Drosophila melanogaster: one gene and its partner. The protein of the gene in region 2 interacts with the protein of the main gene of each other region in a pairwise test. Each region holds a gene or a part of one and is shown on either strand. Other genes may lie near its edges.

Evidence for each region.
Region 1: the proteins of CG13135 (region 2) and TP53INP interact in a two-hybrid assay, tested with the Drosophila melanogaster proteins (one large-scale study listed by BioGRID).

The regions. Positions count from the first base shown.
Region 1 is NT_037436.4:4,403,292-4,412,122, reverse strand, and holds the start of TP53INP (tumor protein p53 inducible nuclear protein), read right to left. Parts: upstream 4,979-8,831; 5' UTR 4,739-4,978; intron 1-4,738. Other genes in the region: CG15019 (uncharacterized protein), read left to right, coding at 6,153-6,338, 6,508-6,762; Syx17 (syntaxin 17), read right to left, coding at 7,275-7,864, 7,926-8,172, 8,228-8,296.
Region 2 is NT_033779.5:10,119,587-10,126,625, forward strand, and holds CG13135 (uncharacterized protein), read right to left. Parts: upstream 3,186-7,039; 5' UTR 3,154-3,185; coding exon 2,755-3,153; 3' UTR 2,543-2,754; downstream 1-2,542. Other genes in the region: CG44153 (uncharacterized protein), read right to left, coding at 6,415-6,644; CG34109 (uncharacterized protein), read left to right, coding at 1,134-1,274, 2,314-2,452, 5,449-6,045.

The DNA of each region.
Region 1 (8,831 bases), on a different chromosome or scaffold from region 2:
ATTCCATGCCATTGGCCAACCCAAAGTTTTTATAATTAATCTTAGTCTGCACGCGTTTGGTTTATGCTCGAAAAAAAAAAAATAGTATAAAAAACATGGTAAAGAAAACAAAAGTCCCCCACTTCTGCGTGGAGGTAAACAATATTGGCGTCATCGGGTGGACGCCAAAGAAATAGAAAACCAAATAAAAAACTACATGCGCGCGGCAGCACTTTAAATTCAAATAAACAAAGTTCAGATAGAAATGGTGCTCTATCTAATCGGGTAATGTTTATGCCAGCTATGTGGCTGCCACATCTTGTGTCCCAAAATGATTACAACATGTAAACAGCCAGCAAACTGGCAAAGCGGCCAGCATCAAAGGCAGTGAAGTGAACCATGGCCCAGCCCAAGTGAACTCAACTGTTCCGAGCGCTTCTTTCTGGGTTATTGCGCACAAACTCCAATCCAAGTAACCCCCCTTTTCCATAAGATCCCCTCCATGGAGCACAACTTGCAAATACTACGCAGTCAAATGACGAACGCCAACGCATCGACAGAAGCTAAATGCGACATCAAGTGAGGCAACTTTTCATTCGCTTTATGTTTTCATTTGGATGGACAAACATTTGTGAATATGGAAATGGAGACGATCAGCTAGCTGACATGCATGTGAATGCATTTTTCAGCTGCACTGAGTGGAATTTTACGATGCACTGTAATGGATACCATATGCGGTGGAATTAGATATTTTTATGATACCATGATACTTGTATACTATATCAAAATGTTACAATTTGTTTGGTCTATTTTGTAAAAAACTGAGCCTACTTCTTTATTATCAAGCCAAATAATAAGTTCATTTCAGTAATATCTACAAAGCCCAGTTAAGCTGCTCAATAAATGACGCAAACGATACTTTGATGTCACAGCGACACCAACACACACATTTAGAAAGAGAGTCAGCTGCGAGGCTCCACTGTACCAATGAATCAAGGTTCGTTGTGTGGCGGAGCTTATCAAACGATCGATGATAAATGTGGGATTGCAGGTTCTGTGCCCGCACATATATAATTTCAAGTTCGCGCACCTCGCTGCACTTTGGCTGTACATATTAATGGCATTTAGTTGAGCTTTTTATTATATTTGTGCATATATACATATATATATATATATATATATATATATATAATTGGATGTTTTATAACGCGTAATTTCAATTAGTACGTGAGACGCAGCTGTGCGCATTCCGTGCGACTCTTCTTAGGCAAATCCACTGGACACGGCGCATATTTTTTATCACTTTGTTTATCAATAGCAGTCCGCAGGTCCAGCTGTCGTATTTGGAATTCTGGGTCAGCGCCGTTTCTGACCACCGAATATATATATATTCACTAAACAATCAATCAATCTAATATTCCGCAAGTCAATCAATATTGGCGGATTACATCAGGCGCTCAACTGGTGACTCGGAAATGAGTCTAGTCAATATGATTACTGTAAGTATAGTATGGCTTAAAGTCGCAGTCTAGCACGTGCGCAATTATAAAAATAAAGTGCTACACGGGCATAAATTTGTTATGCAAATTGTATTTATAAAACGGTTTAGAAAAATATCTCTAGTGGTTACAAAATCATTTATATGAGTGCGTAAAAGTTTGCAGCAAAAATCAATGCGAACTACTTTGATGCTGAAAATATATTGTAGCATACTTTCAAACATCTTTCTAATTAGTATTTTTCCGCTTGCCAAGTACGATCTCTTTTTAAAGAAACTTTATGCAGATTGGTGACCTTATTTCCTGCCCTTTGACAGTTTCCTTTCCTTCATAATCAAATGAATTTTTAACGCCATTTCCATAGCGTCAGGCGTAAATATAGCACTCAAATTGCCACAGTTGTGTTTGAACGACGCCAATTAAAAGGCAGATTTATGGGCAAATATAAATCGACCGCCCCCCGCCCCTTGCAGACACCACCCACTGGGCTTGAAATAGTTTTCCCACCGCAGTTTGTTACTGTAACTGGTACGGTTACTGGCTTTTCCCCTACATTCACTGCAGGACTTTTCCCTAGTTCTCTCTCTCTCTCTCTTTGCTCTCAGTCCTATTTTGTTTACAAACAAATTTGTTTGACCTGCGCAGTCGGAGGGCATTTTCCCCGATGACGATTACCTAGCAACCTTCACGATGGGACCCATTGAATGTTTTGGTTCTCTCTCTCTGGTATATATATATATATAGAGGGAATACCCACCATCCTAAATATATATGTATATACAAAGTAACGACTTCCGCATTTGGGAAAATGTAGGCCCAGAGAAACTTTTTTGCAGCCTCCCGTTCCGCAGCCGTTTTGGGGGTCACCTTTGCTATTTTTGGGCTTGCACAGGGTGCCTCCTAGTTGTTGGGTGTAGGGTCCGCACCACATGCTTACCTCCCTTTGGAAGCGGTTTAGCTGCAAATCGATGAAAGGCCCATAGCTGCAAATCAGCGCCAGTGGAAAATGAACACGTCAGCAACCCCAAAGTGGAAAACGGGGAAGGGATTTGGGTGAAACTGCGCAGTGTGCAGTGTTACTGGGCCTACCACCTGGAACCACCCCGTTTACCACCCCGAATCTTCTACCCTACAGTACCCACATGCAGCTGCGTTTATTTTCAAGAATTATGACATAATTTTTGACATTTAGATGCGCAGTCAAAAGAGTCAGGGGGGAGAAAAAAAACTTACATAACTCGAAAATACTAAACAACTTGAACTTGACTCTGTGTCTTTGTTTCGCATCGGTTTTTTTTTGTTTGTGTCCTGAGTAAACTGGTTTTGCCCGCACCTACAGCAGTTTCACTTTCTTCATGGCCATAAATCAGGACCTGCGAGGAACCCGAAAAACAGTAACCCAAAACCGAGACAAGAACATCAAGTGTTGGTTATTTGGCCTTTTGTTTGGATATCTTTCGGATGCACATGCCTAAGTACAGGTACGGCAAGTCGGCTGACTAAATTTCTAATTATAGTCGGGCATTATCGGCTCTGCGGGGAGGGCAGTCCCATCCCATTTTGGGATTAGCCACCAGCCAGTTGCCTTCCCCTGCTACCTGTTAGTTGGTTTTTGGATCTGCACCCGATGGGCTGAGTTGCGGATACCCCTGGGACTGTCCAAAATTGCCACGTCAGTATCTATGCTCTAATTAAACCAGATAATGCCGTCTAACGATAACCTAATTGCCTTCATTCCCTACTCAGTTCAGTGCTCAGAGGAATTGACACTGCTGCAGATAAATAAATAATCACCGAATTGGGTCGCTAAGTAGCTAAGTATGGTTTACTTAAAATGAATAACTTTCAAAAAAACAAATGATCGACTTATGAATTATAGAACTCAAATACTTCTGTTATCTAACACATTTTCTCCCTGTGCATCGGTTGGACTTTCTGTGACTACGGTTACCCTTTTGGCCAATTAAGGCGACCAGATTTGTTGGCCACGATCGAAGCGGGGCAGCCAACTGACTTTATCTGCCAGATACACATTTGGCTGAGTTCGCGTTGCTGCAGCATCATCAGCTGTTCGCTGTTTATGTTGTTGTCTGTGGCTTTTGTTTTTCAATTTTTCTTTCATTGCCACAGACAAACAACTGGCCAGACTTGATTTATCATCCGCGACGGTTCTTCCCATTCGTTTTTGGACCCCTACTCCCCACCCCTCCGTTTCGATCCAGCACCTTCCGTTCTTTAGAGGTTTTTTTTTTAGCTCTTCAGCTCGAAAAATGGACAATGGACAATGGCAACTGCAAGACCTGTTCTGCACATTTGGCGCATGATTCACTTGGGTTTTTGGGCCTGCTTTTGTGGCTGTGGAGCGGCAAGGTTTCTCCTCGAAATGCTCCCTATTTTCGTTTGCCTCTCGGATCTCAACATCTGAGCAAATGTTGGCAGGCATCCAGGAGATTTTTTTTGGCCATAATATTATAGTTGAGGAAATAATTGCAAGGCTAATTAAGATGTTAATCAGCGAAACATTCATTGCACTTGCCATCACCAGTTGACACTCCATGAACACACAATGATTGCACAAAAAAAAATATATAACTCGATCGTGGGGCAAAGTGCAGCAGCTAATATGTAAGTCTGAACACAGAGAGAAATTTTTCTAAAAAGAGTATGAGAAATTCTGAACGCTTTATGTTAGCATTTAATTCTATACACTCATTATTCCAATAAGCTCTACATTAGATGGTTTTAGGCAAATTTTTAGCAGTGCACTCAGCTGGGAAATGCCAGAGATCTGAGATGTGGCACGGATCTGATAACGATCGCTAAAAATGCTGAAAACGTGATGCAAGTCAAATTTATGGCTATTAGATGCCCAGAATGGAAATCCCCTTAACAAGAAACTCGGCCGATTTGCAGCCAAATACAATTTGGGGGAAAATCGGTGTTTGTGTGTGTGTAAGTGCATGTGGAGATGGAAAACTGTTGGCCTGGCCGAAAGCCAAGGAAAACTCACACAGCCGCAAAAGTGTGAACTCTTTGGATGCGAAGGTGCAATCAGAATTTTTTCCTGCTTTTTCGTATGTATCGCTGGGCTGCACTTTGGGATGTGTGTACATGTAAATCGGCTTGCAGCAGAACTTTTGAGAAACATATCTGAGCATGTGTTGGTGCGTGTGTGAGTGTAATGTCCTTTCCTTGGAGAAGGACTTCCGCTTCAGTATTTTTCTGCTTTTTTTCTTTGGGGGGGTTAAAACTGCACTTACTTGCTGCGCGGAGTTTATTGATCGATCGGTGTCGGAATCTACCCGTATTCTCTGCAATAATTTGCACCAGCAAGGCTTTTTACACAGTTTTCGAAATGTTTTTTAATTGGCGTGCTTATTGTTTTTTGTGCTGATTACTTCCGTTTTTGCTTAACTGACGGGGGTGAGAGTGCGGAGAAGAGCAGCGCTACAGGAACTCCGTGACGTATGCTAGCAACAACGACTGACGAGCGAATGATGGCAGAAGGTCTACAAACTGGCCAACCAAGCTGGTTGCCCCCCTATCTGTGTGCCTCTGCTGTTCGCTGGTGTTGGTGCGCTACCCATGTATTGGTGGCTCTACAGCTGAGCCCGACACACTTACCCTGTTTCTGCCTCTTTCTGCTGCTGCGCATGTGCAAGAGAGGCTCTTCGGATGCTCTATCCAAATCGAAAGTAACTCAGCTATGTCACTGAAGTAAACACATTGTATTGTACATTAACAATACCTTATACTTTGGCTAAATAGCTAGGACATTTTTACAGTCTATCTCTTTGTGAAAACCTTTTTATCAAGGTCTTTAAAAAGTAAGTGCATTTAAGCCGAATTCTTTTAAACTGTTAAACAAACTATTATATGCATTGTCTTAGCTATTAGAGAAAACTATTGCATTTTGTACAATCATATATTTTTTATAAAATTCTATTTAGTGTATTAAAAATCTAGTCGGTGTAGAGCATTTCACAACGACTATATTTCCTATTTTAGTTACTTTTCGTATTTGGCAAGCCTCTCATTTTCTCTTCAGCAGCTGATTTTGTTTGTATACAAAAATCATATTGCAATATATATATACTGAAAAGGAGAGAGAACAAAAGGTAAATAAATACAGAGTGGAAAAGGGGAAGAAAGAGATGAATGGAAACGAAAATGGAAGTGGAAAAAAGCCACAAAAGCTTAATTTGTGGTTTTTAAAAAAGTTATAACTTATATGCATTAAAGGCAAAGTCATAAAAACTAGAATTTAATATGTTTTAATATATTTTGTGGTTTTTAAAAATTTATGTACCTGATAATTGATACAACAGCGCTACAGCATATTAGGGAAAATAAGGACATAAGGTGTAATTAAATAATATGACACATATTTCTATACAGATAAGTGTCTTTTACATAGAAAGTATATAAAACTATTTAAAAAACGAGAGTAAAAAAAAAACAATTTTTAATCTTGGCGGCTAAATAACTAAAAATAAGCCCTGGTCGATTAATTTATTTGCGCTATCGATAAGAGCCCGCTGAAAAAAATCGAAGAAAAATCGGGCAGTTTTCCAGCTCTAGCAAAAACACACGTGTTTACGTTTTTAGCAAATTGAACGCAATTTCTTTACTTCTTTGACTTTTTCTGGTATTACTTAATATCCGACTACCGAAATGGGCAGAAACAATCGCTCGAGAAAGCGTCGTGATGAAATGAATAAGATAAAGAAGGCGCGGTACGAAGCCAAGGAGTTAATTCGACTGAAGAAAACTCTGGGACTCCTAGATGCCGATGGAAATGAGATCATGAAGGATATAAGCGATGTGGTCGAAATTAAGACCGCCAAGGAGCTCAAAAGGGTTAGTTATGTGATATACCCACCTACAAATATACCAATTTACCTAATGTATTATATGTATTGTATGCATGTAATATGCGAAAAACCGGCTTAGTTTATCGCGATACTACCTTCATTCTTGTTACGTATTTTATATCCTTATTAAAGAAGAAATTGTATTCCTAAAACAGGAGGCCAAATCCAAGGAGGAGCAGGAATTGATCTACGAGCACCAGGAGAGTCTGGAGAAGGGCGAGAAAGTCAAGGTGACCAACGAGAACACGGGCGTGGAGCACATTTTCAACAGCAAGACCCTCAAAGATCAGTACGGCAATTATCCTGCGTGGTTCAAGAAGAAGAAGACCGCCAAGCGTCTAAGAAAGAAGCAGCACTCGCAGAAGAAGAACTTCAAACAGGCCTGGACCACGGTTAATGTTCCCCTATAAATCCGGGGCTGGGTTACCCATCTGGTATCTTATCGTAGTTTATAAGTCCTCGCTTAGTTTAGGAGATTTTGTAGGCTTTTTCTACAAAGATGTTATAGCTAAGAGTATATATTGCATATTAAAGCCCAAACAAGTTCTGAAAAACCCAGATATAGTCTGAACTTCTCAACATGGCAATCAAATAGTATCATTACTTTTTTAAAGCTACGAGTTATTATTGCATATTAAAGCCTTAAAATCTACACACATTTGCGGTGTCATGTGAACAACAAGTATCCAACGCTTAAACTAAAGTGCAGTTACATTATGCTCATTAGCTCTATTGCACGTGGAAAATCACAAAATGGGGATATTGAACTAAAATCGTGGTCAAATTTCTACTGAACGGAACAATAGCTGCGCACGCTGCAAATCACTCCGTTGGTGGCTGCCTCCAAACGTCGTGTGTTCGCCGACCATATGTGCGTGGTGGCCAGAGCCGTGGATGCGGATCGGGCACTTCCTCCTGCGGGTCATTCTGGCTTCTCTTTTAGCTCCAGTCTCTCAGTTGACTCGCTATCCGGTTCCACCTGCTCCTCCTCGATGTTGCCATGCATTACATTGGGATTGGCCTTTAGCACAGAGCCACCGGTGAAGCCGAGGATGCCACATCCTACTGCCGCCAATCCTCCAGCTTTCATGCCCGCCACCAGACCAATGGGTCCTCCCACACAGGTGCCCAGAAGAGCTCCGACTACGGGGTACATGGCCTTCTTGTAGGTGAGCGCCCGGCGCAGATTCAATTCGCCCTGCTGGACATTCTCCAGAGCTTCCTCCGCATTGTCTGCTATCTTTTCCACCGCCACTGATTGCTCTGCAGTCAGTTGACGCATTCCCTGGAACATCCCGTGCAGATCGTAGATCTCCTGTTGCAGGTTCTCCATCTGATCCAGGCAGGCTTGCCTCTGCGCCAATTGGTGTTCCTCCAGCTGGAAATTGAGTTGCAGCTGGGGCATGTGGCGGTGTGCGGGTAGACTGTTCATATCCACCTCCTGTGGCTGATTGTCCAGATCGTCGTCGTACTGAGAACTCAAAGTGGAGGTGGGTGATTTGAGTTGGAGCTCTAAAAATACAGTAGGTGTGTTGGTAAAGCCGAAAGAATTTAGATGGCATTTCAAACTTACCCGCAAATTCCTTCATGCCAGCGAAGGCAGTATCCCTGCCAGGTTTCATTAGGTCGTCGAAACGTTCCAGATCCTCCTCCCGTACTTTTTCTCGCAGTGCATCCATTTCCAGAAGTAGATTCTTGATCTGCTTAATGACCCTCATAGCATTGAGTTCCTCCTTTTTGATTTTTTGCCAGTCGCCGAGCGCCAGGCTTTTTTCTATATTGCTGCGATGGTTTTTCAGTAGGCTCAGATGGTGGGGCACCTATGAGTGTTAAGGAATTAGTTCCGCTCTTCAGAAGATATAGTAAATAACCTACCGCCACATCCTGAAACCTTTGGATGGAGACCTCCGCCTGTTTAAGTGGCAGTTTCTCATCGCGCGTCATCGTGAACTGAATACTTTGAACTCGCAGCGCTTTGATTTTTAATCAGTTTTAATTGTGGTAAAAGTGAAATCTGGGGGATCAGTTTCTGTAACACCCCCCGCCCCTTTTTAACGATGGACCTTGCTTAACAGATTTCCCTGGTTTTTCTGCGCAGTTTTTGCTTTGTTTTGCCAGTGACGTCACTGCTTGCTTTTCGGGATGTTTCCAGTGAGTAGTGCTTTGTTGTTGTGAATGAAACTACGGTGGCATGGTTCCAATCATGCTGGTCTTGTCCCCTATATTTATACTGATAATAATTCTATTGTGCAGTCCAATTATTTGTTTGTTATTGGTGATAGAGATGGCAATCAGTTCGATACTAGCGAATATTGCGCAGCCTTGCCCACACTCGATATTATTCTTACAGTTATCGATTGTCTCCGCTGGTGGGAATCCCCGCTAAAAGGTCAGCTTACAGCCGAGGTCATAAAAATAGTTGTTGACTCACCATTATTGCATTTAAAAGGAAAAATAACCAAATTTTATGTTGCGCGTT
Region 2 (7,039 bases):
CATATGTATGCATGAATGTCCTGTGACTGTTTCAACGTTTATTTAAGCACGCTCACGCTCGTTTGCCCATTTGTTTGACTTGTTTGCGTAGCTTTTAGAAATTGTGTGTATTTTGTGCATACCCTTCGCCAAGGATACCAGCATTTTGATCTGATTCCTGCACTACAGCCAGTCGAATATTGACCATTTGTTGTTCACAAAAAAATAGAAAACAAAGGCACTCGAATCGGATTTCAATATAAGCTGGCCACTAGAAGGAACGGCTATGCAGCAATTCGAATCCGATACCATTTGTTGGGCTCACACGCTGCCACTCTTAGCCGAGTGTCCTGGTTCTGGAAAAGCCTGGGCAGAGAACAGGACCAAAAACCAAAGCAGAAAAGAGACCAACAGCAGAGAAAGGGACTCCCATGGCCGGGCTCTTGCCGCAGGCTGTTGCATTACGCATAAAGTGCATGATTTCATATTTATTTGTTGTTACTCATCGTATACTAGAGACCCATCCAGTTTGCTCGACTCTGGCGAATTGGTTTTGTTTTCATTGCTGCGGTTTTTCTTTTGACAGCGGTTTATGGTTGCGAATTTCTTGTCTCCGCCAATTCAAAATGATTTTTAGGGGTTTTCTGTCCGACGAGAGAGCAACTCCTATGCCAACATAAATGGGGACAGCTTCTGCCGGGAGCCCGAAGGTTATTTCCTATAATAGAAAAAGTTTTCCGACGGGCACCGAGTAAAATTGAACTAAAAGTTTTCCAAAAAAAAAAGAGTCGTGCATTGCCAATCATTCGAAATATAATTTTACAGCTCTTTTACAGTGCAGTCTTAGTGGCGAAAGTGGGAAATTACTATACTTAATTAAATGAGTCATATTTTACAGGCAGCTTAATATGAAAAACAGAAACGTAGGATCCATATCATAGTAGTATTAAAAACCCATATTGAAAGGCTTCTAAGAATTTGTAGAATTTCTAGAATTGTTTGAACTAATCATTAGAAGATATATAATTATTTTAACAAAAAGTTTAAACATTCATACCTAATAGCTGTTGAATCGTTTGTCACTCAACTCTTCTTCTATGCATACAACGAAAAATACATTGCTTTTACAATAAATTTCCCCCCTTTTCTCACAGATTTTGGGAAACAGATCTTCGCACCGTACGCAAAACGAATCGCTCAACAATGCGGCATCCTCGCAGCCGCAGCTCGATGGCCGGAGGTCCTGGAGGACATGGAGGGATGGGTACCGTCAGGGGCATGGACAAGTTCAGCGGGTGAGTTCGCGGGGCACACATTCACTTTCCATGAAGATGGGGAGAAAAGAACTCTTTGGGGACCCGCCGACCCTGAAACAATTCTCATATTTCGCATATCCTTTACAATTCCGTTTTTGTTGAATAATTGAGCCCGGCCGTGTGTGCAAAATCATACTCATTCCCAGACTCATACTCATACTCATACCCATACTCATTCCCAGACTCATACTCATTCTCCTGGGGGCAAGTCAATTTACTCCCAACATTTGTCTGCGCCAAATGCTTGAACGCATTTTCTCAAAAGGTAAATAATGAAGGTATTTATGTCGTCAGAGTGCGAATGTTGCGCCCACGCCGCCTAGAGTCCATAAATAAATATAAGTGCAACACATTCTGTGAAATATTTATCGCATAATTGAAATCATTGCCGAGTATTTATGGCGGTCTTAGGCAAACGCAAATGCAAACAAAAAAATATAAAAAAAAAATAAAGAAAAAAATGGCTATAAAATATGGAAGAAAAAATGCAACTGAAAGTTGGAAGCCATCCAAGTGGCTGAATATTTTGCAAAAATCTGCTTCAAATGCCCAACACAATTTGTATGCTTTTTCAACTTTTAAATGCAACGTATACTACTGAATTAATTAAAAGCAACCGAATCGATATGTATATATATATATATATACACAGGCAGCTCTAATTTGGATTGACCTTAGGGCGGATTGAAAACGCGCATTCTCTGTAAATGACTCTAAAATAAACAAGTTAATGCCTGAAAATGCAATGCGAGAATGTTGCACATTCTGTTGGACATTATAACAATGCAAATGCATGCAACAAATTAACACACGGCTGTAAGCTTTTTAATTTAGCACAAAAAGGGCCAGCACCATTTGTTTACACGAAACTAACAAAAAGCCATAAATGTTTTCCTGCACGCCGGGCGTATCCATTTTTCCGCTCCGACGCGTCATTCAAAGTTCGTGGCATTGTTGCACAAAAATTAACACTTGTTTGCCACGCCACGCCCATTTTCTATTTTGCCCTCCCCCACAGTGGCGCCCTCTATCACGGCCTGGACGAGCGTGATGCCCAGATGGACAATGCGCTGGAAAGGGCTCTGGCCCAGGCGGAGAACGATGCCACATTCAGGAAGGTCAAGCGGATGAGCTACTCCAGCAATGCGGCTGGCGAGGTGAGGAATATTCTGCACAGGTGTCAGTACTTCGCTGATTACCAAATTAGGTTGGAGCTAGTCTATAAGTACTTCATAAATACCCTTTTTCATAGTTACTTTATACATATCCCTTATCAGTTAACATATTATTTATTTATCAAAAACATTTGAATTTAAACTTTCTTTAAAAAAATAATTTATTATTTGTGGGCCCAGTTTAAAATTGATTTGTTTACTTAAAACTAAAGCTGTTTAGGAGTACAGGGTAGCATTGCCTTGTCATTGTTGTTATCATTCTTGAGCGATTGAGCGTCCAGTGCTTAGCCCGAGTTTTGGCTCCTCCTATTGTTCCTGCCTCGGTTGCTCCTCCTCTTCTTGATCTTCCTGGGGCGGCTCACCTTACGCCTGAAGGTCCTCCTCACGCGCTTCTTGCCACTGCCTCCGGATGAGGCGGTGGTCGTGTCGGTGGCCGAAGCGGCTGCGGTGGTGGTTTCTCCATCGGCACTGGCCGCTGTGGTTACCTCTGCGGCAGCTGTGGTTACCTCCGGAGCAGCCGTGGTTGTGGTACAATCGGCTTCAGCTGCATTCGCGGTATCTGTGCAATCGATGCAAGCCGTATCGGTGGGATCATCGGCACACGAGACGGCTAGACCAACTGGCAGATGGGCCAGAAAGATGGTCACCAGGAGGGAGCCAACGATCAGTAGTGATTTCCTCATGTTGCTGATGCTTGCGGCAGATGGCGAATGATAATCTTTCCCTATGAAATCCAATGCTTTTATAGCAACTACACCACCGATTGATTTCAATTCGCACAAGTGTGCACAGGTGTGCTTTCGGCTTTCAGCCAGTTTTCGCACTCTATCAGTGTTTGATTAGTCATTGTGCCTAAGATTGGGCCTAACATTCGGTTCAATCAAAATATTTGACAAGTTTTTATTCATCAATGGGTGGATGGGCATATGCCGTTGTGTTATAATATTTACACAGTTGCTACAACACTCTGTTTGCCAGTCATCCATCGATTTTTGAAATAAAATGTCAAGCACATCTGTTTATCTGTGTGTTTATCTGCTGCCAAAACAATGGGTCACCCCCTTAAAGAACTTATTTAAATAAACTAGTTTTGAATCGATTCAAGTTTGGCCAAGTTTCGGGCGACAGGAATATCTCTTCAAATTGCATTTCTCATTGCCCCAAGGAACGGAAGGCCAACCAGCATTTAAGCTTAATTGCCGGCAATTATTTGGCGGATGGGCAGAGAGCAGACGTTGGCCAACTGACCTCAATCATTAGTTGATAAGCCCTGCGAGGCGGACAAGAAAATGCACGGTGACCGGGAGAAAAAGTGCCGGCCAAACGATGCGACAATAAACCAAGTTGGGAAGATCATAAATCATGGGAGCCCAGAATGGGAAAGCAAAAGAAGGGGTCACTTGGGGCAGTTGCAACAAAAAAAAAAAAAAAAAAACGGAGCAGCAGAGCAACAACTGAGTAGTTGAAAATCATGTAAGATTTATGGTTAAGCCAGATGAACCTGTTGCAAGACGAAAATAAACTCCTTACGGTTTTCATGCACTAGATGAAACTAGATCCACTGGACAAAATCTGTCATATTGTAGCATAAAAACCGAAGCTTGGTGCATGCAGCTCAGCGCTTAAGACCTTGTCATTGGGTTTTGGTTCAGTGTGGTGCTTTTTTCAGCACGAAAATCATGCTTAACGAAGATCTGCATATCCCATCACCTTGATGTATTCGCTAATGACATTTTATCTGACTTTCACTCGCCCGGATCCATAATCATGGAACTTGGGTAGGAGAAACTTTCTTAATTTCCTGTTTAAGAGGCAGACGAGCGCCTCAATTAAAACTCGCTGGCAAGCAGCATTCAAAAGCCATCCAAGCGTCGATTGCCACAAATCAACTTCTACATTAATTCGTTTCTAGGCGGCGAAAAAAAGTGGGTGGTGGATGGTGGATGGTGGATGGTGGGTGGTCTTGGGCCAAGAAACTCGAGTGGCTGGCAAACTGACATGCTCCAAATATTCCGAGTGGCATGCAAAACAAACTTGCAAAGCCTACAACCATCGCCACCACCACCACCACCACCACCACGCCCTCTGGCGGCAGCTTGTAATCAGTTTAAAGTGAGTCCTGGCCACTAAAACTCAATTAACCCCATTTGAATGGAGCACGAGGCAATTGAAAAAACACAGAAAACATGAAATGAAAACGAAAACGAAGCGAAGAGCGAGCAAATCAAGGCAAAAGATTAAAAACGGAAATGGTCGGCCATTGAGATAGGGTGGATGGTTGGATGGTTGGATGAATGGGTGGGTTGATGGCTGGGTGAATGGGTGGGTGGATGGATGGGTGGATGGATGGGTGGGTGGCTCAGATGGTTGCCAAAGGTTGGCAGCATTTTTCACTTAAAACCGCATTGATACTCAATTACCAGGTCGATTCCCCCGCCAGTTGGACAAAACAAACGGCGGACGCGGAGCTCAGGAAAACGGAAGCACTTTGCAACGGAAATGAAACATCAATTAAAGTCGCACACCGAGCGACCGAGCGAGAATCCTTCGAAGGCGAAATGTGGCAGGCTGCAAAACTGTTTGCCTCCCGTCAACCAGTCAGCCAGTTTGCCAGTTTGCCTACACTTCGTCCTTTCGTCCTTCGTTGCAACGAGGCACTTGGAAGCCGCTGCAGAGCGAACACTTGTTCGGTTGCCACAGGGCCTAAGGGCACATTTCGTTAGTTTTTATTGCTTAATTGTAATTTCGCATATGGGAAAACGGAAAGTTTAATTGGCTCCGCTGAAGTATCAGTCCTGAAGTCTCACAGGCGATTTATTAGAAAGAGTTGGCAGTTGGGAAACAAGGCCAGAATGGCAATCTAATTGGGTAGAGCGGAAATAAGCAGCTATTTTTCTTTCAAAGTGTTGCGATATTAGATCATTTGAAATCAGAAAGTGGTACCTTTTACTTTAATGAATTCTCCTTGATTTTTTCAGCTAACCGAGCGACTGGCAAAGATAGCCGGCCTAAACCGCCTAAAGACAGATGGTGATCCAGGACAAACGGGATCGGGCAGTCTGTCTGGCAGTCGAATGAACTCCATTCCGAACTCCCAGTTGAATGTGGATCTGAAGGCGCTGGACAAGCTGGTAAGCACTCTTCTGGAGCAGCACACTTCGGGTGCCAAGGGAGCCACCTCCTTTAAGCCCGAAACGGGCACACGCACTCCGCCGCTGCAGCGAATGGCCTCCAAGAAGCTGAACCGTTGGCGTCCACTCTCCCGATCTGCCCACAGCTACAAGCGTCACGAGAGCAGTGATCTCATCGGTGGTAGCTTCACCCAGCTGATGGAGCGCGTTGATCCGCCGGCGACTTCCGCCCAGCATCCACCCAACATGCCAACGATCATGGAGAGCAGTGCCGGCAGTCCAACTCCGAACAATGCCCAGCAACAGGCGGGTCATCCGCCCATGTGGAATGCATCCTTGGACGCGACGCCAGGTGCGGTGAGAAATGTGCTGCACGGAGCAGCTAGTGGAGCCAGAAATGAGGCCGAGGATCAGCTCAATTTGACGCAAAACTATGTGGACTGAGCATTCTCTTATATTATAAAAAATATTTTACAAAGTGTTGTTTCCAAAAATTATTTTATATTTATTTGAAGATGATATTGATATAAATAAAAATATTTGTGCTTTAAATTATATGATAAAGTTGGGGATAAAATGCTGGATTTCCATGAATTATATATTATATACTTTGCGTGTAAAAAGCCCAAATATTTCATTTAAATATTACCAACATATTTTTTCACGCTATTCAAACATTTAGTGACGCACGTACTTTCTGAAAAGTATCATTTGAGTAAACAAGTAATATCAACATATTGTATGCAAATATGTGTGCTTTTTTTATATTATTCGTATCACTTTAAAGTCTTCTTAAGAGTATCTTGAGCTCACCTGTCTTTCCATAACGCCCGACAACTGCTCACGGTCGGCATGGCGATAGTATCCTGTAAGATTGGCGCCCAGTCGCATGGTTACCTCGTATCGGGTTTTTCCACTGCGTGCCGCATTCCGATTGCCTTTGGATGCGGAATAACTCTGGCCAGGAGGTGAGATGGAGCGGCCGAAATTGTCAAAGTCGCAGGCCTGGTGGCATTCGATGGAGCTGGAGTTGCTGGTGCAGCCTGAAAGGATGGATAACATTTGGTAATTGCTTCCATAAAAGGTCGAAGCTAAGACATGGATGTGTATGTGTACCTATGTGGACCGACACCTGTGGCAACATTAACCCCTGCCCCGTCCAGTGAGTGGATGGAGATGCTCTTGCAATTGCCACAAGAAGAATCCTTTAAATCTCCTTGGGGCATGGAGCTGAATAAAGGACATAACATCATGCAGCAAAAATATGAGAGGCATGTGCCAGGTATTCGTTTGGATAATCTCTCGGTTCTTAACCATCCCATCAAGCTGCTCTTATTCATTTTTGTCATAGCCAAAAAAAAAAAGGTATGGAGTCTCTAAATCGATTCAATTGGAATTTTTCAGTAGACATCCGCTTTTGGTGAACATTTCTCGGTGC